Macaca fascicularis: one gene and its partners. The protein of the gene in region 6 binds, or shares a complex with, the protein of the main gene of each other region. Links are inferred from orthologs where the notes say so. Each region holds a gene or a part of one and is shown on either strand. Other genes may lie near its edges.

What was found.
Region 1: PRPF31 (region 6) and LSM7 share a complex: the UniProt entries of both Homo sapiens proteins name them as parts of the U4/U6-U5 tri-snRNP complex. The link is inferred for Macaca fascicularis from reciprocal best matches to the Homo sapiens genes PRPF31 and LSM7.
Region 2: PRPF31 (region 6) and PRPF3 share a complex: the UniProt entries of both Homo sapiens proteins name them as parts of the U4/U6-U5 tri-snRNP complex. The link is inferred for Macaca fascicularis from reciprocal best matches to the Homo sapiens genes PRPF31 and PRPF3.
Region 3: PRPF31 (region 6) and PRPF6 share a complex: the UniProt entries of both Homo sapiens proteins name them as parts of the U4/U6-U5 tri-snRNP complex. The link is inferred for Macaca fascicularis from reciprocal best matches to the Homo sapiens genes PRPF31 and PRPF6.
Region 4: PRPF31 (region 6) and LSM5 share a complex: the UniProt entries of both Homo sapiens proteins name them as parts of the U4/U6-U5 tri-snRNP complex. The link is inferred for Macaca fascicularis from reciprocal best matches to the Homo sapiens genes PRPF31 and LSM5.
Region 5: PRPF31 (region 6) and USP39 share a complex: the UniProt entries of both Homo sapiens proteins name them as parts of the U4/U6-U5 tri-snRNP complex. The link is inferred for Macaca fascicularis from reciprocal best matches to the Homo sapiens genes PRPF31 and USP39.
Region 7: PRPF31 (region 6) and LSM6 share a complex: the UniProt entries of both Homo sapiens proteins name them as parts of the U4/U6-U5 tri-snRNP complex. The link is inferred for Macaca fascicularis from reciprocal best matches to the Homo sapiens genes PRPF31 and LSM6.

What each region holds. Positions count from the first base shown.
Region 1 is NC_088393.1:2,987,775-2,992,362, forward strand, and holds the start of LSM7 (U6 snRNA-associated Sm-like protein LSm7), read right to left. Parts: upstream 3,166-4,588; 5' UTR 3,134-3,165; coding exon 3,128-3,133; intron 3,045-3,127; coding exon 2,954-3,044; intron 1-2,953. Other genes in the region: SPPL2B (signal peptide peptidase-like 2B), read left to right, coding at 3,286-3,351. UniProt on the Homo sapiens protein: Plays a role in pre-mRNA splicing as component of the U4/U6-U5 tri-snRNP complex that is involved in spliceosome assembly, and as component of the precatalytic spliceosome (spliceosome B complex).
Region 2 is NC_088375.1:110,908,416-110,911,631, reverse strand, and holds the end of PRPF3 (U4/U6 small nuclear ribonucleoprotein Prp3), read left to right. Parts: intron 1-2,023; coding exon 2,024-2,170; 3' UTR 2,171-2,386; downstream 2,387-3,216. UniProt on the Homo sapiens protein: Plays a role in pre-mRNA splicing as component of the U4/U6-U5 tri-snRNP complex that is involved in spliceosome assembly, and as component of the precatalytic spliceosome (spliceosome B complex).
Region 3 is NC_088384.1:120,149,335-120,153,376, forward strand, and holds part of PRPF6 (pre-mRNA-processing factor 6), read left to right. Parts: intron 1-1,286; coding exon 1,287-1,505; intron 1,506-4,042. UniProt on the Homo sapiens protein: Involved in pre-mRNA splicing as component of the U4/U6-U5 tri-snRNP complex, one of the building blocks of the spliceosome.
Region 4 is NC_088377.1:97,819,951-97,823,992, forward strand, and holds the end of LSM5 (U6 snRNA-associated Sm-like protein LSm5), read left to right. Parts: exon of another isoform or gene 1-221; intron 222-641; exon of another isoform or gene 642-818; coding exon of another isoform or gene 819-897; coding exon 898-993; intron 994-1,586; coding exon 1,587-1,614; intron 1,615-2,474; coding exon 2,475-2,547; intron 2,548-2,938; coding exon 2,939-2,971; 3' UTR 2,972-3,427; downstream 3,428-4,042. UniProt on the Homo sapiens protein: Plays a role in pre-mRNA splicing as component of the U4/U6-U5 tri-snRNP complex that is involved in spliceosome assembly, and as component of the precatalytic spliceosome (spliceosome B complex).
Region 5 is NC_088387.1:35,955,935-35,959,976, forward strand, and holds part of USP39 (ubiquitin carboxyl-terminal hydrolase 39), read right to left. Parts: intron 2,012-4,042; coding exon 1,786-2,011; intron 1-1,785.
Region 6 is NC_088393.1:61,930,502-61,934,543, reverse strand, and holds part of PRPF31 (U4/U6 small nuclear ribonucleoprotein Prp31), read right to left. Parts: intron 3,581-4,042; exon of another isoform or gene 3,323-3,580; intron 3,167-3,322; exon of another isoform or gene 2,916-3,166; intron 2,117-2,915; coding exon 1,989-2,116; intron 1,886-1,988; coding exon 1,813-1,885; intron 1,133-1,812; coding exon 1,004-1,132; intron 920-1,003; coding exon 821-919; intron 1-820. UniProt on the Homo sapiens protein: Involved in pre-mRNA splicing as component of the spliceosome. Required for the assembly of the U4/U5/U6 tri-snRNP complex, one of the building blocks of the spliceosome.
Region 7 is NC_088379.1:151,041,396-151,044,493, forward strand, and holds part of LSM6 (U6 snRNA-associated Sm-like protein LSm6), read left to right. Parts: intron 1-2,127; coding exon 2,128-2,241; intron 2,242-3,098. UniProt on the Homo sapiens protein: Plays a role in pre-mRNA splicing as component of the U4/U6-U5 tri-snRNP complex that is involved in spliceosome assembly, and as component of the precatalytic spliceosome (spliceosome B complex).

The DNA of each region.
Region 1 (4,588 bases), about 59 Mb from region 6:
GAAGGCCGCGCAGCGTGTAATCCCGTTTCTATGAAAGGTCCAGGACAGGCCAATCCACAGAGACAGGGAGGGGATGTGTGGGTGCCGGGGAGGCGACAGGCAGTGACAGCTGATGGGGACAGGGCTTCCTCTAGGGGAGACGGAGTGCTCTGCTGGGACAGCGGTGGTGACTGCGCTGCCTGACCTGTGCTAGGTCCCTCAGTGAGTTCACGGAATACAGAAGAACAAATCCCAGCCCTGCAGCTCAGGGCTTGCGGGGAGCGGGCAAGAGAGATGCTCTGAGACCCGGGTGCAAAGGCTTTGGGGGCTGAGGCGGTTGCTGTGGCTTCTCTCTCCACGCTGCCTGCCCCACCCCCCAAGCCTCGCCGCCTTAGGTCACAACTTGGCACCTTGGGTTAGGGCTCTCTGACCCGGTGGTGACCTCTGCCATCTGATCCTGCTCCGCAGTGTCTGGTGACACTGAGAAGGATGAAGGGGGAGCTGTGTGTCCTCAGCAGAGGCCAGCCCACCCTCCCTGTCCGGGACTCCCGTCCTCTCCCCCCAGGCTCCTCCAGCCCAGGCCCAGGAGCGGTTCCGCCTCTGCGCTCACTGAGGGGCGTCCCTCAGCCACCCGCTCCCTACCCTCCTTCTTACCCCTGTCATCTTTCAGGTGCTTCCTCCAGACACCAACCCACACCCCTTAGGGTGCTGCCCTCTGCATGCCCCCCACCAATCTCAGGAAGCAGGCACCCCAGGCATTATTCTGCCCGCCTATCTTCTCCCAAGGCAGGGCTGTGAGCCTGTCCATGGCCGTTCTGCGCTGCGAACTACGACCAGAGGCGAAAGTGGCCCACCGCTCATCTCTGTATGCCAAAGTTTCACTGGCCCACCAGCACACTCGCCCGCTCAGGCACTGACCAGGGCGGCTCTCCTGCTCTGCGGGCATAGCTCACTGGTTGTGACAAGAGACCATCTGGGCTGCAAAGCTGAAGATATTTGCTGTCTGGCCTTCTACAGAGAAGGTCTGCCCACCTGCATACAGGCTTTAGCTCCTACCTCCACGGCTCCCTCTCTCTGCGCTCAAGTCCCTCCCCTGCAAAATGAAACCTGTCACCTATGAGATGGGGTCAGACGCAACGGTTCAGGTCCTTGGCACCAGCCTGACCAGTGAGCCAGCCCTCCTCACAGGGACAGATGTGAGCACTGAGGTAGGTAGGTCTCTAACCAAGGTTCCCCTCCCCGGGGTGTGGGCTCGGGCCTGTGACTCTGAGGGGACATGACGTCACTCCTGCACTTAGGTTATGCAGCTGTTTAAGCCCCTGAACCAGCTGACTTTGAGCCAATCTAGAGGGAAACACCCTGGGTGAGCCTGACCATATCAGGTGAGTCCTTCAGGGAGCAAACCCTTTCTCTGCTGTGTGTGTGCGTGTGTGTGATTTATTTATTTTTAGACGGAGTCTCGCTCTGTCTCCCAGACTGGAGTGCAGTGGCGCGATCTCAGCTCACTGCAACCTCTGCCTCCTGGGTTCAAGAGATTCTCCTGCCTCAGCCTCCTGAGTTGTTGGGATTACAGGTGTGCACCACCACGCCCAGCTAATTTTTTTGTATTTTTCGTAGAGATGGGGTTTCACGAAACCCCATGTTGGTCAGGCTGGTCTCGATCTCCTGATCATATGATCCGCCTGCCTCAGCCTCCCAAAGTGCTGGGGTTACAGGCGTGAGTCCCTGCGTCCCGCCAAGAGCTGCAGCATGCATCACCAGCCCACTGCCCATGCGAATGCTTCCTGCCCTCTGAGAGCTCGCCCTGTCTTCACTAGATTCCATGGAAGAGTTGCAGGCAGAGGCAAGCATCAGGTTAACATGCACGAAACCGCAAACGGTGACAGGTGCTACCAGGATCCTAGAACGATGGGGGGCCTGACGCCAGGGTCAGGGAGGGCTTCCCAGAGCAAGCACCTGTGGAACTTGTGCTTCTGCCGCCCTTTGCAGTCATAATCAGAAGTATGGATTCGGATTTTACTCCAAAACAACCGGGAGCCTCAGAGGTTTTCAGCAGGGAGCAAGAAGCCTCCATTTCTTTTTCATTAGGTGCCTCTGGCCGCTGAGTGGAGACTGACCTTAGTAGCTGTGATTCCCAATCACAGCTTGGGGGTCGGGGGGCGATCCTATCCCCAGAGAACACTAAGCAATGTCTGAGGCTATTTAGGTTGTCACAACTTGGTGGAGGCCAGGGATGCTGCTCAGCACCCTGCAGTGCCCCAGGACGGCCCCACTCCAGAGAATCCGGCCCCAAATGTGTCCACACTGCTGTGCGGGAAAGACCTTGACTTAGAGGGAGGAAGAGGAGAAGCCGGGAGATCTGTGGGGATCTGGGGCAGTCCTTGGACACACAGGACTGCTCTGGAGGCCAAGCCGGAAATCCCAATACCGGCTGCGCCACTGTGACTTTGGATTACGTTTGTTTCCCGCTCCTTGCCCCAGTTTCCCCGCCTGCAACATGGCCATACCAGTTCCTACCTCCCGGCGTAATTCGGAAGCCTGCACAAGGTAGTCGGCGTCAAGCGTGTAAAGAGGCGCCTCTGCGGCGGCTCACGCCTGTCATCCCAGCACTTTGGGAGGCCGAGACGGGCGAATCACTTGAGGTCAGAAGCTTGAGACCAGCCTGGCCAACATGGTGAAACCCCGTCTCTACTAGAAATACAAAAATTAGCCAGGAGTGGTGGCGCCTGTAGCCCCAGCCACGCAGGAGGCTGAGGCAGGAGAATCGCTTGAACCCGGGAGGCGGAGGTTGCAGTGAGCTGAGATCGCACCACTTGCACTCCAGACTGGGCGACGGAGCGAGACTGCGTCTCAAAATAAATACATAAATAAAAATAAATAAAAGAGGCGCCTCTGCATGCATCCTCATCACCTCTGTTGCTGACTTTATTTTAAAATTTTAAAGGGGGGGTGCCAACGGCGGGAGCCGCCTCACCTTCGCGTCCTCCCTGAAACTTCACCCGGATCGTCTTGTCGATGTACTTGGACAAGTCCAAGATGCTCTCCTTTTTCTTCTTCTCCTTATCCTGCGGGGAAAGCAGAGCGCATGAGGCCTGGAGCGCGGCCCGAGCCCCACGCCCCCCGGCTCCGGATTCTGCCGCGCGCTCACCGCCATCTTGTCGCGCCGTGAGGCTCTTCGCAGACACCGCCCCGTGCCCTGTGACCTCTCCCCTCCCCCCCACGCGCATGCGCGGCGCATGCGTGGCCCGGGGTCTCGGGGCGTTGCTGGGAAACATCTGCCGACGGTTGCGGCGGGCACCGGCCGAGATGGCGGCGGTGGCGGCGGCTGCGCTGGCGCGGCTTGTGGCGGCCTTTCTGCTCCTCGCGGCCCAGGTGAGCGCGGCACCGGTCCCGACGGCACCGCAGGCTGCGGCCCTTCGGCCTCTCGGCCCCGAGGCTACGCGCAGGAACGACCCCTCTTGGCCCGTCTTGGGGGTCCAGCCTCGGGGATCCGCGGTCCCCTCGTTGTCGGCCGGCGGTGCCGGGGCCCGGCCGTGACCTTGCGGGGCTGTCCCCGGCTTCTCTCCCTTCCCCGCCTCGGAGGCCCTCCGCCGCTGCAGCGCCCCTCACTTCCCACCGGGCCTGAAGTTTGTGCCCCCTCCATCTCCCTGTTCTGCTTGTCCGTTTCGGGGTCTCCAGCCGCCGCGGGGGACGCCTCTCTCCCGCTCTGTGGCCTTGGGCAGGCGGCCGCCCACCCCGCTCCGAGCCTCAGTTTCCCTTTAGGCGGAATGGCCCGGTGCTAAGCTAACCTCACCCTAGGGGGTGCGGTGGGGGAACCCAGAGGCGTCCCGCGTGTCCCCCAGTGACTGGCCAGCATCCTGGAGCGGCCAAGAGCCCAGCCCTGCACTGGGGTCGTATTCCCGCTCCATCTTTTACTCCGTGACCTTGGACGAGGGAATTCCCTGCTTTGAGCGTCAGTTGCTCGTCTGGAGAAGGGGGGTCGACTATGGTGTGGATTCTGGAGATGCTACCCAGGGTGACCAGCGCCTAGGGACAGCACGCCTTCCTTATATTCATTGTGTATCCTTTGATGTAGAGTGTCAGGTTCTAGCGGGGACAGTCTACGAGATGGCACTGTCGTAACTGCATCTTTTATTTTCTTAATTCCAAATCTTACCTCTTACCTGAGTTTGGTGGCTCAGGGAATGGAACCCGGAGCAGCCTCACAAATGCGGCCCTTAACCTTCACTCCTCTCTCAGAGTTCTCTTAAGGCGTCGCTGCCACTGGGCTCCTTCTTAGTCTCCACTCTTCCAGCCCCACCGCCATCCCCCTGCTGTGGCTGCCTTTGTCCCCCACATCCCTAGTCCATCCTCGACACAGCAGGAGTGACCCTTTCAAAGTATGTCAGTCCATGTCGCATCTGGATGAACGTGCCGTCCAGTTGTGACCTGGCGCCAGGGAAGCCTGCAGCTCATTGCAGGAGCTTCGTTGTCTAGTCTTTTCTCTTACCCTGAAATGCCCGTGGTCTCTGCAAGGCTGGAGGGCCCCCTCAGAAGCTTTCTGCGAACCGCACCTCCACCCCCAGCTGCCCTGTCAGCCCCCTGGACTCCCCCTATTCTGAGGCCAGGG
Region 2 (3,216 bases), on a different chromosome or scaffold from region 6:
TACAAAAATTAGCTGGCCGTGGTGGCCGGTGCCTGTAATTGCAGCTACTTGGGAGGCTGAGGCAGGAGAATCGCTTGAATCCGGGAGGCGGAGGTTACAGTGAGCCGAGGTCACACCATTGCACTCCAGCCTGGGCGACAGTGCGAGACTGTTTCTCAAAAACAAAAGGTCTCTTCCTATTCTCTCTGATCTCTTCAGACCAGTCTTTATAGGTAATTGCTATTAATAGTTTTTCTTCTGAAGGAGCAATAAAAAAAAAAAAATTAAAAAAAAGGTTTTCATGTATCCTTCTGCCTTATCCCAGATTCTTCAATTTATGCATACAAATTAGATGATAATAACCATAGTATTTGTTTCTCTGTTTAATAAGTTCCCACCTGCATATTATCTTTTTTTTAAATCAATTTTTTTTTTTTTTGAGACGGAGTCTCGCTGTGTCTCCCAGGCTGGAGTGCAGTGGTGTGATCTCGGCTCACTGCAAGCTCCGCCTCCCGGGTTCATGCCATTCTCCCGCCTCAGCCTCCGAGTAGCTGGGACTACAGGCACCCGCCACAACGCCCGGCTAGTTTTTTGTATTTTTAGTAGAGACGGGGTTTCACCATGTTAGCCAGGATGGTCTCGATCTCCTGACCTCGTGATCCACCCGCCTCGGCCTCCCAAGTGCTGGGATTACAGGCTTGAGCCACTGTGCCCGGCCAATTTTTTTTTTTTTTTTTAGAGACAGGGTCTTGCTCTGTTGCCCAGGCTGGCGTGCAGCGGTGCAGTCATAGCTCACTGCAGCCTTGAACTCCTAGGGACAAGCAATTCTCCAGTCTCAGCTTCTCAAGTATCTGAGACCTCAGGTCCACACCACTGTGCCTGGCTAATTTTTAGAAATGCAGTCTCACTATGTTGCCTAGGCTTGTCTCGAACTCTTAGCCTTGACTGATCCTCCCATCTCAGCCTCCCAGAGTGCTGGGATTATAGGCATGAGCTACTGCGCCCATATCTTCACATATCTCAGCCCCCTCATCTCTTTTCAATTTTCTTCTATTTATCTCCGAAGAGTACTTACTGAAAAAGTCGCGGCTTCTTAGAGAACCAGTATTAATGTTGTAGGAATTTAGTTTTCAGGAATTGTCTTTCATATTCAGAAATAAGCCAAGTTCTGCTCCAGCCTCCTTATTGGAGTCTACTCCCTGAAAGCCTCTTGAGGTAGTGCTTTATGACTGCCATTGCTGCTGGTGCCTTTGGCAAGAATGCCGTTCTACCCAGTACTGTCTTTTTTTGTTGTAATTCTCTGCTGGTACCTGCTCTTCTTCTGTTCCCCACCCGGAGTTGTTCTTTGTTGCTGGGCCCCAAAGCCTTCTGCTTGTATAAATAGTTTTTTGGGCCTTTTTGAAGGCCCAAATTTAGTCCTGAAGGCCTGGTGGGAGATAAGTTTATCTCATTCCACCTTCCATAGTTCTTCCTGACTTGCTGTTCCACCCAGGCACCAGAGCAAAGAATTCCTCATCCTCATTTCAAAAATCTAAAAACCTTATACATATGAATTCATAAAAACTCATACAAATATCCAAGGAAATGGAGGTCACAGTTTTTTTTTTTTAACCATAAAATCACGTTCAGCTGGGCACATGTCTCACAAATGTTACTAGGTCTTTTTTTTTTTTTTTTTTTTTGAGACGGAGTCTCGCTCTGTCGCCCAGGCTGGAGTGCAGTGGCCGGATCTCAGCTCACTGCAAGCTCCGCCTCCCGGGTTCACGCCATTCTCTTGCCTCAGCCCCCCGAGTAGCTGGGACTACAGGCGCCCGCCACCTCGCCCGGCTAGTTTTTTTTGTATTTTTTAGTAGAGACGGAGTTTCACCGGGTTAGCCAGGATGGTCTCGATCTCCTGACCTCATGATCCACCCGTGTCGGCCTCCCAAAGTGCTGGGATTACAGGCTTGAGCCACCACGCCCGGCCTACTAGGTCTTATAAAAGAATATTATATCTGATTTAAATAAGAAATTGAAGTGTTTTTATTACATATCTCTTTCCTAGGGTACAGCCAAAGACCGGAGCTTTGGAGAGATGAAGTTTAAACAGTGTCCTACAGAGAACATGGCTCGTGAGCATTTCAAAAAGCATGGGGCTGAACACTACTGGGACCTTGCGCTGAGTGAATCTGTGTTAGAGTCCACTGATTGAGACTACTGCAAGCCCTTGCCTCTCCCCCCCTTGCCTTTGTCTCTTCAGTCCTCTCACTTATTCTATTTCCCAACCCACTCCCACTTGTTGTGTGATCTCAGAACTGTGCCAAGCAGACACTGGGACAAAGGGAGAATATCTTGCTCCCCTCCCGAGTCAGCCTGGTGTTGCCCTTTATTCCCCTTATGTGCATATGATTAAAGAGTTATTTTTAAACTTGGTGTGATATTTTTCACACATTCCTAAGTACTAGAGTTTGGGTCTCCAGGTGATCTTTTTTCCAGACTTTTAGCAATTGCTGTAGAAAAAAAATTTTTTGTCATTGACATTTATTTATATATATAAATGGATGAATGGATGGATGGATAGATGGATGTGTATTTTTGAAGTCTAGTGGAAATGTCTGATCTCATCCTGGAGCTAGAATGAGAAATACTGTTTTCCTGGAGCAGAATGAAGCAGGGAGATGTGTAAAGTGGTAAGGGAGAGAGGAGGGACAAATGAGTATCCATCCCTTAACTGAGAGAATCACCAGGTCAGACAGATTACCTCAGGACTTGGCTAAGTAGTCTTTCCAGGAAATCAGTTCCTCTAAGGGGTGCATATGTGGGAATGTGTGTTGTGGGTAAAAAGGACACAGGGAGAGTCCAAGGAGGATGCTATGGGTCAGTTTGTAAAGTGGAATAGGATTTAAGAATTTAGCCCATTTTGTCTCTTTTACTAGTTTAAAAATTCACTTCTAGTAGAAATTGTGTAATTTTTTTTTTCTATCTATGAATCCGACTACCTGTGGTTGGTTTTATTTCAGCATTTAATGTTTCTGGTTTGATTTTAGGAGTATATGAGTCAGCATAAGTTATCTATTGAAGTCCAAAATTTTTACCATACCTATCCTTCTGTTTCATATTGCCTGTGTTGGGAATGGATTAAACAAGTCAATAGAGCTCCCATACCTTCTTGCTAGGTGGAGCATGCTATGAATTGGTATTTGAGAATGGATGTCTGACAAGAAGTTAAAACATTCTGTGTTATAAAATTCCCTTTAA
Region 3 (4,042 bases), on a different chromosome or scaffold from region 6:
GTCTGGAAGTGATGATGTAAGTGGAGCATTGAGCTCACTCAGGCTGCGCTTTCTGGGAGCAGAAGGCCGTCCGGAGCCCCAGGATACCGTTCTGTGCACAGCTGCCAGGCAGGGTGGTGAGAGGCTTCCGCTAGTTTTGCTGTTAATGGAAGTGCAGAGAGAATCTTAGCTCGTACCTGACCACTGCAGAAAGTTCTCTCAGGCGCCATTTCCTCTCCTTCAGCCCAGAGTTTGTCATGGGAGCCGAAGGTGGGAGGGTGATAGAAAACACTGCTTTCTGCCAGCCCCGCGTGACTGCTCTTTGCCTCCAAGCTAAGTGGGATTTCTTTGGTTTTAGGCATTCCAGTTCACAGCATTCTGTGCAGTGATTTTTAGTCTTGGTTTTATGATACCTAGTATGTCTTCAATTATCCTAAGGGGTATTGTGAAATTCTCCAAACAACATTAATCTTGTTTTATTTACATAAAAATGAATAAAGCCCATACACATCTTAGGGATGGAGTGCTGCAGAGCCAAGAGTCTGGGAACTCCAGGAGGCTGAACACCCTTCCGTGTGTTTAGCCCATGAGGGCAGTAGCCTCATCCTGCCCATCTGTGCCAGCCCCTGGTATCAGGTCTGGCGCTCTGTGTGCCTGGAGGCAGTGTTTGTTTGTGGAGGCAGTGTTTGTGGAGGCAGTGTTTGTGGAGGCATGTTTGTGGAGTCAGTGTTTGTTTGTGGAGGCAGTGTTTGTTTGTGGAGGCAGTGTTTGTGGAGGCATGTTTGTGGAGTCAGTGTTTGTTTGTGGAGGCAGTGTTTGTTTGTGGAGGCAGTGTTTGTGGAGGCATGTTTGTGGAGTCAGTGTTTGTTTGTGGAGGCAGTGTTTGTTTGTGGAAGCAGTGTTTGTTTGTGGAGGCAGTGTTTGTGGAGGCATGTTTGTGGAGGCAGTGTTTGTTTGTGGAGGCAGTGTTTGTGGAGGCAGTGTTTGTTTGTGGAAGCAGTGTTTGTGGAGACATGTTTGTTTGTGGAGACATGTTTGTTTGTGGAGACATGTTTTTTTGTTTGTTTGTGAACATTCCACTGAGAATCTTTTCCTGCTCACCAGAGTCACTAAGTCAGTCAGAAGCATCAGTGAGCAGTTGGTCAGGTGAGATGTGCTGCTGTGGACGCTTCTCAGGCCGTGTTCAAATGGCTCTCGAGAGCTAAGAAAGAGCGTTGTGGCCGTGCTGCAGGGTGGGTCGCTGTCTGGCCTGCATCTGTCCCCTCAGCACAGTGTCCTCTCCTTTTTCTGGTGTCCTCTCCGCGTAGCTCTGGCTTGCTCTGGCAAGGCTGGAGACCTATGAAAATGCCCGCAAGGTCTTGAACAAGGCGCGAGAGAACATTCCTACAGACCGGCACATCTGGATCACGGCCGCTAAGCTGGAGGAAGCCAATGGGAACACACAGATGGTGGAGAAGATCATTGACCGAGCCATCACCTCGCTGCGGGCCAACGGTGTGGAGATCAACCGCGAGCAGTGGATCCAGGTGGGCCGCAGGCGGGTGTCGTGGTGTCGGCTTTAACAGTGTACGTGCCGCACGTGGGAGTCCCACGCAGGACTGGGGGCTGCTGAATGGTGCTGGGGAGTCCTGCGCCCAACCGGAAGCAGGCACAGGTGTGGCTGGGCCCTGAGCGACCTGGGCAAGGCCACTGTCACTCTTGATGGATTCAGGCCTTGAGTTCGTCTTGGGGTGAATGCTTCGGAAGCCCTTTCAGTGTGTGCACACCTGACTGCATTTCTTTGCTAGTAGAAATGATACATCTGAGAGTCTCATGGCTTCTTCCACTCTTCCCCTCTCCCCCACACCCTTTTTTTTTGAGATCGAGTCTCGCTCGTCACCCAGGCTGGAGTGCAGTGGCCACCTTGGCTCACTGCAAGCTCCGCCTCCCGGGTTCACACCATTCTCCTGCCTCAGCCTCCCGAGTAGCTGGGACTACAGGTGTCTGCCACCATGCCTGGCTAATTTTTTGTATTTTTAGTAGAGATGGGGTTTCACCGTATTAGCCAGGATGGTCTTGATCTCCTGACCTCGTGATCCGCCCACCTTGGCCTCCCAGAGTGCTGGGATTACAGGCCTGAGCCACCGCACCGGGCCAACACCCTTTTTTTTTTTTTTTTTTTGAGAGGGAGTCTCGCTCTGTCACCCAGGCTAGAGTGCAGTGGCGTGATCTTGGCTCACTGCAACCTCCACCTCCTGGGTTCAATTCTCCTACCTCAGCCACCTGAGTAGCTGGGATTATAGGCACCTGCCACCATGCCCAGCTAATTTTTGTATTTTTAGTAGAGACAAGGTTTCACCATGTTGGCCAGGTTTGTCTCGAACTCCTAACCTCAAGCAATCTGCCCGCCTTGGTTTTCCCTGTCTTTTAACTGTGTCTCTAGACTTAAGGCTATAGAAAAGTCTCCAGAGGTCATCTAACTCAGGAAGTAAGACTTGGGTTCCCTTTATTACCTTCTTTTTAGGAGTCACCCTCTGAGTTATGTTTCTCTCCAGAAAAATAAATAATGAAATTATTATTTCTGTTTTATTTTATGACAGTCCTTCCTTCCTCCTTCCCTTCCTTCCTTCCTTCATTCCTTTCCTTCTTTTTTTTTTTTTTTTTTTAGTTCTTTTTTTTTTTTTTTAAGGAGACAGGGTCTTGCCGTGTTGCTCAGGCCGGAGTGCAGTGGTGCATTCATGGCTCACTGCATCCTTGATCTCCTGGGCTCAAGCGATCTTCCCGCCTTAACCTCTCAAGTGGCTGGAACTACAGGCATGTGCTACCATGCTTGGCCAATTTTTTAATTTTTATTTTTTGTCTTGTTATGCTGCCCAGGCTGGTCTTAAACTCCTGGCCTTCAGGGATCCTACCACTTCAGTCTCCTAAAGTGTTGAGATTACGGGCATCAGCTGCCATGCCCAGCCTGTGACAGTTTATTAAGCTATGATTAGCGTTCTATAGAATCCACCCATTGAAAGTTTACAATTCAGTGGTGTTTAGTATATTCACAGAGCTGTCCATCTGTCACCACAATCTTAGAACGTTCTCATCACCCCAGAAAGAAGTCCTGTGTCCGTGAGTTGTTGCTCCCCGTTTACTCACTTCTGTAGCCTTTTGTTTGTTTGTTTGTTTTCTGAGACAGGGTCTGTCTGTCTCCCAGGCTGGAGTGTGTGGGACAATCAGTCTTGGCTCTCTGCCACATTTGCTTCCTGGGCTCAAGCAGTTCTGCCTCAGCCTCCTGAGTAGTTGGGACTACAGGTGTGCACCACCACACTTGGCTAATTTTTTTCTGTCTTTTGTAGAGACGTGGTTTCGCCATGTTGTTCGGGCTGGTCTCAAACTCCTGAGCTCAGATGATCCACCTGCCTCGGCCTCCCAAAGTGCTGGGATTACAAGTGTGAGCCACTGTGCCTGTCTAACCTTGCTTTTTTACTTTGTCTATACGTTTTGTTTCTGGACATTTTATATACAGATGTTCAACTTATGGGCTTATATCCTGATAAACCCATTGTAAGTTGAAAATATCGTAAGTCTAAAATGCGTTTGAGGCTGGGTGCTGTGGCTCACACCTATAATCTTAGCACATTGCAGGGCTGAGGCAGGCGGATCACTTGAGGTCAGGAGTTTGAGACCAGCCTGGCCAACATGGTGAAAGCCTGTCTCTACTAAAAATACAAAAAAATTAGCCAGGCATGATGGTGGGCACCTGTAATCCCAGCTACTCAGGAGGCTGAGGCAGGAGAATCGCTTGAACTCGGCGGACGCAGAGGTTGCAGTAAGCCGAGATCGTAACACTGTACTCCAGCCTAGGCGACAGAGCTAGACTGTCTCAAAAAATAAATAAAATAAAATAAAATAAAAATGTGTGTGATACACCTAACCTGCTATACTTTGTGGCTTAGCCTATCTACTGGGTTAAACATACTCAGAACACCTACCTTAGCCTACAGTTGGGCAAAGTCATTGAACATAAAGTGTTGAATAACTCATGTAATTTATTGAATGCTGCGATGAAAGTGAAAAACAGGGTGGTGGTTTGAGT
Region 4 (4,042 bases), on a different chromosome or scaffold from region 6:
AGGCCCTGGCCGAGTGTGGGGAAATGTATAGGACCAAATGCGGTTCGACTCTCGGCTCCAAGTCTTCAAGGCAGCAGGCCGCCCCTGCTCTTTAACGTGGTCGGGCTCCTCCGGGCAAGGATTTCTGACTCCTCAAAGCAGACTGTCACTGGAGAAGGTCCACATTTAGTGAACGTGTTGTCGGCCTCCTTTGTTGTGAGCCCGCCTCTGCAGTGTGATAGGTAGTAGGCCAACTTCTCAACCTGGCTTTTAAGATCCCCAGATTAGATAGACCATGTTATGTATATGGTTGACACTAACACCCTGGTCCGGAATGAGCCTTAAATGAGGAATCTGGAAACTAGCTCTGTTTGTTATTTATTCATTCAATAAGTAGTAACTGAGTATCTATACACGAGATACCGTGCCTGGGCATTTTTCAACGATAAACTTAAACCATAGCCATTGCCTTCAAATAGCACACAAGCCAGTGGAGGAGAGAATACTGGACAAGTAGACATCCTGCTACATAATGCTAGGCTGGCAAAAGAGATGTTCAAGCTGCCGTCAGAGCACAGAGGATAGACAGAGTTGGGGGAGGGAAGCAGTGACAGAGTTTCCGGTGAATATAATTATACCTATCTCCTCTTATGTTTTTGTAGCTGGTGAAGAGTGATTGAACTAGTGGTCGTGGCCGTGATTGAAAAGTTTTCATTCCTTCATGCCACAGACTCTTTTGGAATCCTCATTACGCGCCAGATGCTGTGCTTAAACTGAGATTTGTATTATAAGACCTAAAGTTATTGAATGAATGTTTTTCCTGGTTTTTCTTTCACTATATGCAAGTAAGAGTGCCAGTAGGCACTCAAATATTTGTTGAAATAATGAATGGTAAAATAATATTTTTTCCCTCCTCAGAACTTGTGGACAAATGTATAGGATCAAGAATTCACATTGTGATGAAGAGTGATAAGGAAATTGTTGGTACTCTTCTAGGATTTGATGACTTTGTCAGTATCCTTTTAAAAGGTGGTGGTGGTGGTATAGGTTTTTCTTAAGTATTTAATAACGTAAGAACTATAGACAATCAGTATATTTGTGATTATTATAATAAAATCAGTTCATTTTCAGGGAACTTATGATAATGTTTTAAGAGGTATGTATTGAAAGACGGTAAAGTTCCTATCAACAACAAACATTTTGAATTTGAGCCGTTGTGTTAAACATTATAATTAAAACTGAACAAGCGAGCCCAGTGGCTTACACCTGTAATCCCAGCGCTTTGGGAGGGCAAGGTGGGTGGATCGCTTGAGCCCAGGAGTTTGAGACCAGCCTGGGCAACATGATGAAACCCTGTCTCCACAAACATTACAAAAATTAGCTGGGCATGGTGACGTACACCTGTGGGCCCAGCTAATCTCTGGGACCGAGGCAGGAGGATCCTTTAAGCCCAAAAGGTGGAGGCTGCAGTGAGGTGTGAGTGTACCACTGCACTTAAGCTGGGATAACACAGCGAGACTTTGTCTCAAAAGAAAAGAAAAGAAAAGCTGAACAAAGGCAGAAGCTGGAGTAAATTCTCTATTTGTTTTCTTAACACCAAATTTCAGATATGGTACTGGAAGATGTCACTGAGTTGTGAGTAGTGTTAAAGAATTGGGGGGGAATCTCTTCTTAATTAAAGACAGTTTTACTACTTTTGAGTAAAATTATTTATGAGAAAACATTACCTGTTGGTAGAATAACCTTAAAGATAGAAGTTTTATCTGTTTGCTTGTAAAATTGGATCAGTGTTATTACCTTAATTTAATTATTAGTAAACTCCTAGACAATTAGTGGAGACAGTTTTAAGGTAGAAGATAAAAGAGCTAGGAATTTTAGGGTTCAGGTCAAATCAAGGAACTGATAGTAAGAGCATTTAGACTGGACATGGTGGCTCACCCCTGTAATCCCAGCATTTTGGAAGGCCTAATGAGGAGGATAGAGCCTGGGAGTTTGAGACCAGCCTGGCCAACAAAGGGAGACCCCTGTCTCTATAAAAAATTTAAAAATTAGCTGGGTATGGTGGGGGGCAGCTGTGGTCCTAGCTGCTCTGGAGGGTGAGGATCCCGTGAACCAGGAGTTCTAGGCTGCAGTGAGCTATGATTGTACCACTGTACTCAGCCTGGGCAATAGAGCAAGACCCTGTCTCTTAAAAAAAAAACAAAACCCAAAAAACATTTCATTTCATATTTGATTTCTTGGGCAAGCTTTGGCTTCTTTTTATGAAGCTCTGTCTGACAGATGTGGATCTTAGGTCAGTGAGTTCATTCTGTTGCTTTTAATGAAGGTTACATTACCTAGTGGATAACCTTTGTAACTGAAAATTGTCGATATAATTGCCCAACCTCAGAGTAATTTGTATACAAGGATCACCTTTTTAGGGAGGGAAAGTATTTCCAAAATGTTGGCTTTGATTTTCACTGTTTATCCTGACTGTATTTTATCTATTCATTTAGTGAAATCACACCAGAAGGAAGAAGGATTACTAAATTAGATCAGATTTTGCTAAATGGAAATAATATAACAATGGTAAGACACATTGAAACTGTTTTGTTTAGATGGGAGCCCATTTTTCTGGGGCAGTGATTATAGAACTAACCTTAATGTTGCTTGCTTAACTAAATGATCATGGCCCAGTGGTGCGTAAGATGGGAAGGGTGTTCTCTGTGGTCAGGGCCCTAAAGCTCAGCTATTGAAGAGGCATTGGGTCTAAAGGTTAGTTTGCTTCGAATTTTTAATCGCTGTTGAGATAGTAAGTATTAATTGATGATGTTGGAAATTGTGAATAGATATTGACAATCTGGAGAAAATGGGAATGTGGAGCGCAGAGGACAGGCAAAGGTGGCTTAAGGAAGAGCAAGGGATTTTTAGATGACATGGTTGTTGTGTTACTAATAAACTCTTTTTCCTCTTTATGCAGCTGGTTCCTGGAGGAGAAGGACCTGAAGTGTGAATGAGTTTTCTTGACTTAGCTAGATTCTGTTTTGTCTTTTAATGACAAGAAAATGGAATTTTTTTCCCCCACCTTCTAATGTTTAAATCCCGTAAAGCTAAGTTTCCCGTTAAAGGGAAGTGCTTTGAAGATGTGTACCCATTTTTGTAAGTTAATCATGATTATCCTGGAAAAAGAAGAAAAGAGCTTCTTCTTTGAAGACGAAAATAAAGGTGTTTTTGGTTAATTGTCATTTTATTTATTGTACTGCAGTAGCCAGTGGAACAAAGATTGTGGTTATTTTGCCACTTACTTTTCTGTCATTATATGCTTATTTGCTTTCTCATTTACATGACCATTTGATTCTCAAACAAAAGTCGTTCCAGACAAAATGATGAACTTTGATTTGAACAGGTGCATTTAAACAACTGGAAATGATCACTTAGAAAATTAAATTAAAATGCTGTTGTTTTGTAATGAGGATTTTTCTACTGATTTCAAATTCCATGAACAACTATTGAAAACAAACAATATACAGGTAATATATGCACATTGTAGAAATGCGGGAATTATCTATTGGAATTTCCCTAAAGATACAAATTTTATCTATTTGTTTATAAAATTGGTTCAGAGGGTTATTACCTTAATGTAATTATTACTGAATTGCCAGGAAATTAGTGGAGACAGAGCTTTAAGGTAAAGGATACTAAAAACAGCTAAGAACTCTGGGACTCAGGTAAAATCAAGGAACTGATAATAAGATCATAGAACTGTATAAATTAAGTCAAAGAACTATTAAAAACAAACAGGTAATATACACACATCGTAGGATTATAAGTAAGCAAAAAGGAGAAGGTTGATCATGCTTTGCTGTATGTCTTCATAGACTTTCTCAGTCCACTCTCAGTACACATTTTATTTTACTTGTTCATCCTGATTTTTTATTCTCCACTTAAGCCATTTTTTGAATTTAAATGGTGAATATCTTTCCATGTCAAATATTTCAACATTAATGTATACATAATATTAAATGGATTTACTATAAATTATTTAGCCTATTCTTACCACAGTAGTCTAACTAGATCTTTATAC
Region 5 (4,042 bases), on a different chromosome or scaffold from region 6:
GAGTCTAGCTCTGTCACCCAGGCTGGAGTACAGTGGCGCAATCTCAGCTCATTGCAAGCTCCGCCTCCTGGGTTCACGTTATTCTCCTGCCTCAGCATCCCAAGTAGCTGGGACTATAGGTGCCCGCCACCACGCCCGGCTAATTTTTCTATTTTTAGTAGAGACGGGGTTTCACCGTGTTAGCCAGGATGATCTCGATCTCCTGACCTTGTGATCTACCCGCCTCGGCCTCCCAAAGTGCTGGGATTACAGGCGTGAGCTACCGCGCCCAGCCTGCTTACTTATTTTTAAAGACAGGGTCTTCCTCCGTTACCCAGCTGGAGTGCAGTGGTGTGATCATAGCTCACTGTAGCCTTGAACTCCTGGGCTCACGCAACCTGCCTCAGCCTCCCAAGCAGCTCAGACCACAGGCTTGTGCCAGCACACTCAATCTTTCTACATAACTTTATTTCCCCACTAGACTGTGAGTTCTTCAAAGAGAAAAATCTTGTATTTTATCCCTGCTGCTCTAAAACCTAGCACCATGAGTGAATGTTGAACAAACTAATATGGATGCTAGACGATATGATATGAGATTCAGGTACAAAGTTACACTGTCCGCCTTACTCATAAGGCAATAACACATTGGGTCTGGAGAGATAAAAACAGTCAAAATAGTTCATCAGAGGCTGGGTGCAGTGGCTCACACCCATAATCCCAGCACTCTGGGAGGCCAAAGTGGGTGAATCACTTGAGGTCAGGAGTTCAAGACCAGCCTGGCCAACATGGTGAAACCCCCTCTCTACTAAAAATACAAAAATTAGCTTGGCACGTTGGCGGGCATCTGTAATCCCAACTACTTGGGAGGCTGAGGCAGGAGAATCCCTTGAACCCGGGAGGCAGAGGTTGCAGTGAGCACAGATCATAACACTGCACTCCAGCCTGGGCAATGGAGTAAGACTCGGTCTCAAAAAAAAAAAAAAAAAAAAATCATCAGAATATCCTAATGCGGGACATGAAAAAATGAGGATAGGTGACAGGTGTTTAATAAAAGCTAGTGTCTTTCCCAGTCTCCTGGTATTCCCCTAAGCCATACAGTTTAATTTACCAAATAAGACCGACTTTCTATTCAGCTACAATCTCCTGGGACTCTTAGCAGGGCAGACTGGTCAGAGGAGAATGAGGAACCTAACCACACAATCCACTGGACACTCCTGGCTACTCTCAAGATTCACTGCAGCTGGGTACAGTGGCTCACGCCTATAATCACAGCTACCTGAAGCTGAGGCAAGAGGATCCCTTCAGTCCAGAAGTTCAAGGCTGCAGTGAGCTACAAATCCCACCACTGTACTCCAGCCTAGTCAAAAGAGCAAGACTCTGTCTCTTAAAAAAACAAAACAAAACAAAACAAAAAAAGGCCAGGCGCAGTGGCTCATGCCTGTAATCCCAGAACTTGGGAGGTCGAGTAGGGTGGATCACGAGGTCAGGAGTTCGAGATCAGCCTGGCCAACATAGTGAAACCCCGTCTCTGCTAAAAATACAAAAATAAGCCGGGCATGGTGGCACGTGCCTGTAGTCCCAGCTACTCGGGAGGCTGAGGTGGGAGAATCACTTGAACCCTGGAGGCGGAGGCTGCAGTGAGCCGAGACCATGCCATTGTACTCCAGTCTGGGTGACAGAGTGAGACTCCATCTCAAAAAAATAAAATAAAATTAATTAATTTAAAAAAAATTCACTGCCAAGTAGAAATAAATTTGTTCATCAAACTAGTTTTGTTGTCCTGAAACATAAATGACTTGTTCTTACCTTGTTTGGTGATCTGAAAAGTCTTCTTACTGCAAAGTACAACCGCCTGAAGCATCTCATGGGGAGACACATGTGCTTTGAAATTTCGAGGGTTCCAAAGCTTTCTCATCAGCTCTCCAAAACGCTGGACCAACAAGAACATGATATCCCCTGGAGGACGCTTAATGTTCTTATAATTGTCTTCTTCCAGAAAGTAGTTCCGGAGAGGAGGAACATTAGATAGAGCCTGAAAATCAAACACTCCGATTAACCCAAAGCCCCTTTGTAGGACCCCTTGAGCCAAGCTCTTCCAACTAAAGTTCTAACAGAATCTTGTGATGTGCCTGTGATGGCCTTAAAGAGCCAAAGTAAATCGACCCTTGGAGAATCCTACCCAGGCTCACATTACAGAAATATCATTAATATTGAGTTTCATATGACCTACAGTTCTACAGACACTTTGCTGATGTGGATACCACAAAGAAGGTTAAAACAAAACAAAAAAAAAACCCACAGGTATTCAAATCTCTATCAACTTACTCAACAATTTCCTTTTGTTACTCTAATTATGCTGTGACAATACTTAAATTCATAGAGTAGAAAGGTAAAATCCAAATACCCTTTCCTTAATCATCCATTTTGGCTGAAGCACAAATAACTACCTAGGAAACACAGTTCTCCCATCTCTCAACTCCACACTAAAATAATATGAAAATTATCTTAAAATTTGATGTTTTCCCATAATAAAACCATATAATTGTACATAAAAGTAAATATAGGGAGCTGTGAGGACGCAAAGGAGTAAGAATGATACAACGACCTTTGGGGACTTGGGGGAAAGAGTGTGAGGAGGGGTGAGGGATAAAAGACTACACATCGGGTACAGTATACACTGCTCGGGCGATGAGTGACCAAAATCTCAGAAATCACCACTAAATAACTTATTCATGTAACCAAAAACCACCTGTTCCACAAAAACTTATTGAAATTTTTTTTTATTTTTGGAGACAGAGTCTTGCTCCATCCCCCAGGCTGGAGTGCAGCGGCATGATTTCAGCTCACTGCAACCTCTGCCTCCAGGCTTCAAGCAATTCTCATGCCTGAGCCACCGTGCCCAGCCAAAATTTTTTTTAAAAAGTAAATATACTGTTATGATGGAAAATGGTCGGCCAGGCGAGGTGGCTCATGCCTGTGATCCCAGCACTTTGGGAGGCCGAGGCGGGAGGATCACCTGAGGTCAGGAGTTCAAGACCAGCCTGGCCAACATGGTGAAACCCCCTCTCTACCAAAAATACAAAAATTAGCCAGGCGTGGTGGCAGGTGCCTGTAATCCCTGCTGCTCGGGAGGCTGAGGCAAGAGAAAATCACTTGAACCCAGGAGGCAGAAGTTGCAGTGAGCCAAAATGGCACCACTGCACTCCAGCCTGGACAACGACAGCAAAACTCCATCTCAAAAAAAAAAAGAAAAAAAAAGAAAAGAAAAAGAGAAAATGGTCAAAAGGTTTAGGACAATAAAAGCAAAATGGATCTCATTAAGCAGAAAGATAAAAATTAGCCATATTGGTTTCAGGAAGAAACACAGGCTCATTAGCCTGAGCTACAAAACTGGGAGGCAGGGTCTGGGTGTGGTGGTTCATGTCCACAATCCTAGCACTTTGGGAGGCCAAGGCGGGTGGATCATTTGAGGTCAGGAGTTTGAGACCTGCCAGGCCAACACGGTGAAACCCCGTCTCTACTAAAAATACAAAATTAGCTGGGCATGGTGGTGAGTGCCTGTAATTCCAGCCTCTCGGGAGGCTGAGGCAGGAGAATCACCCGGCGGGGGCAGAGGTTGCAGTAAGCCGAGATCGCTCCATTGCACTCCAGTCAGGGCAAAAAGAGCGAAATTCCATCTCAAAAAAGCAAAACAAAACTGGGAAGAGGAGGACCAAGCAGACCCTAAATAAAAATGCAGTATCCCCACAGATCCTTCCTGACCAGCACTGTGCTTACCATGAACACATTTCTTCCTTAAACAAGGTCATCTATTCAGGGAGTCAGCTAGAAGGGCTTCTGCTAAACGTAATAAACTCAGGCATCTCTAAGGAAGACAACTCAAAACACAGAGAGCACTGGCCGGGTGCAGTGGCTCATGCCTGTAATCCCAGCACTTTGGGAGGCTGAGGCGGGCAGATCACGAGGTCAGGAGATCAAGACCATCTTGGGTAACATGGTGAAACCCCGTCTCTACTGAAAATACAAAAAATTAGCCGGGCGTGGTGGCGGGCACCTGTAGTCC
Region 6 (4,042 bases):
GGCGGAGGAGGGGAGGCTTGGAAAGGCACGGCCACTGGCCTCATCTTCTCAAAGAGGCCCTCCCTGGCTGCTCCAAAATGAGAGTCCCCCGTCCCACCTCCTACCTCCCACCTCCTCCCCTCCCTGGCATTTCCGCCTTCTACTACATTAGACATCCTACTGAGCTGTCTGTGCCCGGCCACCCACTGGCTCCCTGAAGGTAAAACTTGTCTCTCTCATTCATCGCTTCATTCCCAGAGCTGGGAACACCGATGGAACTCAGTAGGTGCTCCACAGACATCCGCGGACTGAGCAAATGAGCTCGCTGCTGTCTCGGCCCCACGTGCAGGCTCGCCCTGCTCTGTGGATGGTAAACCGAGGCTCCGACGATGCGGTGACTGCCATGCTCGACGCCACTCACTGCTGACTGGCTGGGGCCTGGACCCACACGTGACATCCAAGCTCACCTAGCCGGGAACTTTCTCGAGTGGGGTCCTGAGGTTACCTTAACCGCCCTGGCCATTTTCAACTGGAAGGCCTGGAGGCTGAGCAGTGTAACCAGCTCACAGCCCCACAGAGAGGAACTGGATGCCCTGGACACAGCTGTGGGCCTGGTTCTAAAGCGGTCCGTGCTCATGAGGACTGCTCAGCACTGGCGTCTCGTCTCTGCTAACTTCTTCCTGTGTGCCAGGAGCTGTCTACGTCCTCTGAATACCTCGTCACCACGCCCTCCACGACAGCCCCGTGAGGGGACTCATCCTGGCCGGCTTCACAGGGGCAGAGGGCAAGGGGCCTTGCCAAGGTGTTGGGGCTGGGGACAGAGCCGGCCCAGGGCAGGTACCTGGAGTGGGGTGAAGGCCACGCTGGAGGCCGTGCCCGAGGAGCGGTCGCGGATGGTGGACTTCCCGCCGTACACAACGCTCTGCTTCTGCAGGGTCCGCTGTGGGGAGGACAGGGAGGCTGCGATCTGGGCTCCCCCCACCCTGTGTCTCGGTCCCCAGCCCCACCCAGGTCTGGCCCATACCTGCAGCGTCTTGGAGATCCTCGCCTTGGTGGCCTCGTTGACCTGCGTCTGCCGCACGCGCCCACTGCCCGACTTGCCCAGGTGGCCCAGGCTGAATCCCAGGTCCTCCTGGTAGGCGTCCTCCTCAATCTAGGAGGAAGGGGAGGCACCCTGCAATTCAGTGACCAGGCCCTGCCCTCCAGCCACTGAGGCACCCCCTCGACCAGCTGGAAGCCTAGCAGTCACCAGCCGGCTGGTCCCACGGGCACCTGCTCAGGTACCCACTTGGCCCGGCTGAGGCCTGAGGGCCCCCACAAGCGGGGGATGCTGGGGAGCCTGAGAGGGGCTGGGTCCTAGCACTGCTCTGTGAGCTGAGTCGAGAGGCCATTCCTTCCTTCCTCGTGTGGATTGGGGGGTGTCAGGAACCAGAACAGGTTTCATAGGATGAGGTGGCCTCTGAGTTGGGTCTTGCAGGACCAAGCGGATGACGTTGGGATAACAGAGGAGACTGGCGGGGCCCGGGAGCGGGCGGCGGTGCAGCAGGGCACTGCGGAGCCTCTGGGCAGGGAGGAACCAGCCAAGGAGCCCGGGGCGATGGGAAGCTGCAGGGCTCTAAGCGCGGGAGACACAGGCTCCCAGGGTTACAAGGGTCACTTTGGGGCTGAATGGATGGAAATGAGAGTAGAGGCTGGGGGATGAGGGAAGAGGCTGGTACAGCACCCTAGACATGAGCCAGGGCCACAGGACGAGAGGAGGGACGGTGGCAGGAGGCAGAGGGCGGTGGCGGCTGGCTGCCTGTGGGGGTGAGGAGGGCGCTGGGGGAGTCTGACCTCTCCGAAACTCATCCGGTTGGCCTGCTTCCGGATCTCTGTCAGCCCCAGCCGCTCCTTCATCTTGCGGTACCTGGGGACGGATGGGCGGGCGGTGCCAGGGAGTCAGCTGGGAGGAGGACGCTGGCCTCTCCTCTCCATGACCCCCACGCCTACTGGACCCCCGGGCCTCTCACCTGCGGCCGCCTCGCTTCTTCCGCTGCCCATCCAGGGGCGCAGGCAGTGGCTTCACCTGCTTCACGGGGGGGGGCTCCTGCCACTTGTCAAATTTGCGCTCGATCTCATCCTTCAGTTCGTAGCCCACCTGGGGAGGGCGAGGGGGAGGTCCTGCAGCTGCTCACGTGCGCCGCCCACCCAGACCTCCTCTGTCAGCCGTCCGCCTGTCCACCGAGCAGACAGACTGCCCACGCCAGGGCTCCTCTGTCCGCCGTCCGCCTGTCCCCCGTCCGCCTGTCCCCCGAGCAGACAGACCGCCCACGCCAGTGCTCCCTCCCCGCTCCGGGGCAGACAGACCGCCCACGCCAGGGCTCCGTCCCTGCTCCGGGGCTCTGGGTTTTCAGTTCTGTCAACAACCGGATGGCCTCATCTCGGCTCATACCTCTCCTCTGGGATTTTTTTTTTTAAGATACAGTCTTGTTCTGTCGCCCAGGCTGGAGTGCAGTGGCATGGTCTCCGCTCACTGCAAGCTCCGCCTCCTGGGTTCGAGGGATTCTCCTGCCTCAGCCTCTCGAGTAGCTGGGACTACAGGCACCCACCACCACGCCCGGCTAATTTTTTGTATTTTCAGTAGAGACGGGATTTTACCATGTTGGCCAGGCTGGTCTCTAACTCCTGACCTCGTGATCTGCCCGCTTCGGCCTCCCAAAGTGCTGGGATTACAGGCGTGAGCCATCATGCCCAGCCTTCCTCTGGGTTCTGTACCCTGTAAACAACTGTCTCCTTGACATTGGGATCGTTAACAGGCCCTTCAAAGGTATAACAGGGCTAAACAGAATTTCTGGTCCTCCTCCCCAGCCTTCCACCATCTGCCTTCCTTCTCCCGGTACAAGCAAACGGCAATGCCCGAGAGCCGGGCAGCTGACTCCACTGTTTCTCTCCCACGCCGCAGGTCCCCGGGGACGACTCCTTCAGAACCAATACCAAATTGGCCCCCTTCAGCCCCTCCACTGCAGCCAACGTTCGCCCCGGGATGCGCAGCCTCCATGCTGCCTGCGCCTGGATTCCGCCAGGGCCTCCCCTCTCTCCTCCAGGGCTCGCTGCGCTCTAGCCTCAGGGCCTTTGCATCGGTCATTCCCCCTGCTTGGAAGACTCTTCTCCCGAGTATCCATGTGCCTTGCTCCTTGGCTTCACTCAGGTCTGGGTTAAACCCTCAGCTCCTCAGAGCCCTGGGTCTTCCCTGACGTCCCAGTTAAACCCTCACCTCCTCAGGGCTCTAAGTCCTCCCTGACATCCCAGGTAAATCAGCACCTAATGTCGCCCCCACCCCAACCCCCTTTCTTTTTCTTCTTAGTGTTGACTTAGCACCGCTAGACGCAGGACAGATTTCACCTGTTGACTGTCTCCTCGACCCGGCCCCAACAAGAATGTCCCTGCCACGGGGCAGGGCTCCTGTCTGTGCTACTCACAGCTGCACCCCCACACCCAGACCAGGGGTGAGATGGGGAGAGGGAAAGGAGAAGAGGGGGACACGGAACACTTGAACGCCAGGCCAGGCTGGGTGCTTGGCAAACGACAGTTCACAAGACAGAAAATGTGTCTCCTCTCCCGAGTACGTCTACCAAGGAAGACAGAAAGTAACTGAATAATTACTTGAATAACATCCCCTGTTGCAGCGGGGACAGATCCTGGTGCGGAAGACAAATTATACCCCCACCAACACACACATGCCCAAGGAGGTCCATGTTCTAATTCCCAGAACCTCTGAATGTCACCTCACAGGGCAAAAGGGACGTGAAGAGATTAAGAAGGATATTAAGGATTGTGAGCTGGGAAGACTATCCTGGACCATCTGAGTAGGCTCAGTATAGCCACAAGGGCCCTTAACATAGAGGGGGGAACAAAAACAGAGGCCAGATATGAGACAGAAGCAGGGTCAGAGAGAGCTCTGAGGGTGCTATGCAGCTGGCTCCGCACACAGAGGGAGGGCCACGAGCTAAGGGGTGCCAGTGACCCCTAGAAGCTGGAAAGACAAGGGAATGGATTATCCCTTGACTCCCCTAGAAGGAACCCT
Region 7 (3,098 bases), on a different chromosome or scaffold from region 6:
AGCATCTCTTTAGAATCAATTCCCTGAGCTAGGATTTACAAGTCAGAGAGTATTCCATGGCCCTGCTTCAGAGAACCTGGGTTTATCCTTCATGTTCTCACCAACTCTTGTATTAGCTTTTTTTCATCTTTTCCAGTCTAATCGGCAACAAGTAATATCTCATTCTACATATATTTTATTTGTTTACTAGTGAGATTCAGCAGTCTTTCACATGGATAGTAACCATAATTTTTTTTCCTCTTATGAATGTCTGTTTGTGGCCTTTATACGATTAAAACAAAATGTTCTATACTATTAGATAGCCTTACTAAAAGAACGTGCTTATTTTGTGGTTTACAAAACACCAAAAAAAAAAAAAACCCAAAACAAAACACAACATACAAGAAAAACCTCCAACTCTCTGTAGCAGTTTCTGTGTAAGAAAATGTCTTGTTTTGGTTATGTATAGGAGGTTATCTCATGGAGAAGGAAACGGTTATATTTCTAACCCCCTGGGCAGTTTTTTTTGTTTGTTTGTTTTTTGTTTTGTTTTTTGTTTTTTGCCTTTGCTGTGAGAACAGATACTTTAATTAGAAGTGAACTTTTTTTTTTTCTTTTTTTTTTTGAGACCAAGTCTCACTCTGTCACCCAGGCTGGAGTACAGTGGCTCAGTCTTGGCTCACTGCAGCCTCTGCCTCCCAAGTTCAAATGATTCTTCTGCCTCAGCCTCCCGAGTGGCTAGTGTTACAGGCACCCGCCACCACGCCCGACTAATGTTTGTATTTTTAGTAGAGACGGGGTTTCGCCATGTTAGCCAGGCTGATCTTGAACTCCTGACCTCAAGTGATCTGCCTGCCTCTGTGTCCCAAAGTACTGGGATTACAGGCGTGAGCCACTGTGCCCAGCCTGGACATTTCATTTTGAAATTCTTTTCATTAGTTTTCGAACAGGTTTGCATATTGTGCCTCAGAAGTTTCTTGCTCATTTATAATTGTGGCTTATATGTAAAATAATACAGCAGGAAATGAGCTAAAGTTATAGCTTAAGCTTTCTTTGGCTAGGAAATAATTTTATTATTCACAGTCCATTCTGGTTCTTTGAGAGTTTACCGCTTTTAGCAGAATTCTGGTAGATTAATGTCTTATGCTGTCATTACACACACAATTTTGAAAGGAAACTTTTTTGTTTAGAGGATAATGGGGGCAGAGGCAGAGAGTGAGGAGCATATTAATGAAGTTAAGACATCAAATGAGAAACTTATAGACTCGACTAATTGAATCTAGTATTTGTTTTTACTTAAATTTTTTTTTCTAGAAAATACCACTTGAAATTAGAGACAGAGTTAGAGGCTTGCAGATTTTCATCTTTTGAAAAAGATCATTAGGTCAAATTTTACAAAATTTATACCATCTTAACACAATTAAAGATTCACTCAAACTGTTTCCTTGAAAGCTCCCTCAAATGTTTTTGGCCATTTTCTCTATTAGTTTTGATTGGAAAATATTATAGCTGTAACAAAACAGAACAAGATGTGTTATAATGCAATATGTTGCCCTATATTCTCAAGCTGCTCTTCACTGTGAGTCACAGCTTTAAGATGTTCTTTCGGGAGCACCTGCTGTCTCCTCTTCTATTATTTTAACAGATTGTGGAGACTTCCTTTTAACCCTGGAGTACATTCATCTGCTGCAATAGATGTTGTAAAAGGATGAAATAAATCTGCCAGACCCGTATTTCACTTAGTGGCTGAAGTAGGAAATGCCACTGGAACCAAGGATCATTTGTTCATGCATAATTGCCCACCTTGTGCTTAGCTTTCACAGAATGGTATTTTTGTTGGATTAGTCTTATTCTCTTACTTTTTTGAATGCTTTAAAAGTTGCTATGTGGTCATACATACCGTGAGGGAAGTGACAGTTTGTTGTTTTACTGGGTAGTAGTGGGTGCGTGACTGCCTTCCTAGTCTTCATTCAGATTGGCCTAGAGTTGTTTTGTGCTTAAGCTGTTGAGTTTCATTTAGGGTATGAATTTTTTTATTAAGCATCTAAGAGCTAATGAATAAAGAGATTGTCTGCTCTAAGGTATACCCTGTAATTTTCAACTCCTACTTGCCTTGTATTTCTTCTTTTTGACTAAATATGTCTACAGGGGTCCTGGCTTGCTTGGATGGCTACATGAATATAGCCCTGGAGCAGACAGAAGAATATGTAAATGGACAACTGAAGAATAAGTATGGGGATGCATTTATCCGAGGAAACAATGGTAACATTTCTTCACCCTACAGTACAGCATTCATTCAAAATAAGCCTTTCTGTTTATAATCCAGATCACCAAAGAGTTTACTAGATAATTTAAAAGTCCAGTTTTAGGCTTGATTATTTTAAAATGCTTATATGTCAGTTTGACCAGTTATTTTTTTAGATACATCATGGAATTTTTAAACTAAAATTCCCTCCTTCCCTTCCTTTAGTGATGAGGAACTGGGGGCATTGTTCTCCTGACCCGGAACCCTGCTCTCTTGAATATAGTGTATTATTATCTCCCCAACACATATTCCTGCTTCTTGTAGCCTGGAAGTTGCAGCTGTAAGAATGGGCACCATTTCCCTGCTGTCTTTAATTTGCATAATTTGGCAGTTTGTCCTATTTGTCCCTTCTCTATTAAACATTCAGATGCTTTCTGTGCAGATTTGCATCCTTTGATTTGGCAAAAATGGCAAAATAGAAAAAATAAAGTTACTCAGTTTTTTAACAACTAATAAATTGCTATGATTTTTATAGTTATTTTTAAGTACCTAGTTTCAAAATGAAAATTATGATAAAGTCACATTTGTATTTTTGGTGGGGAGGGAAAAATAACAGAATTACGAGAATTACCCTACTTCTTGGTTCCATCTCCCAAATGAAACTCTGGGATTCTTGAGTTCAGATTTTTTGTTGATTTCTTTAATTCTGGATGTCTTCAACCCCCTAAATAGTTGGATCTCTTTGATATAAACTAAACTTCCTGACTTTTATAATAGTCTGTCCCCTGTGCTTACAGTACCATATTTCTTCATATCATATTTTTACATACATTATTTCCTGACTTTCTAGTCCTTTCTATTTATAGAATTACCC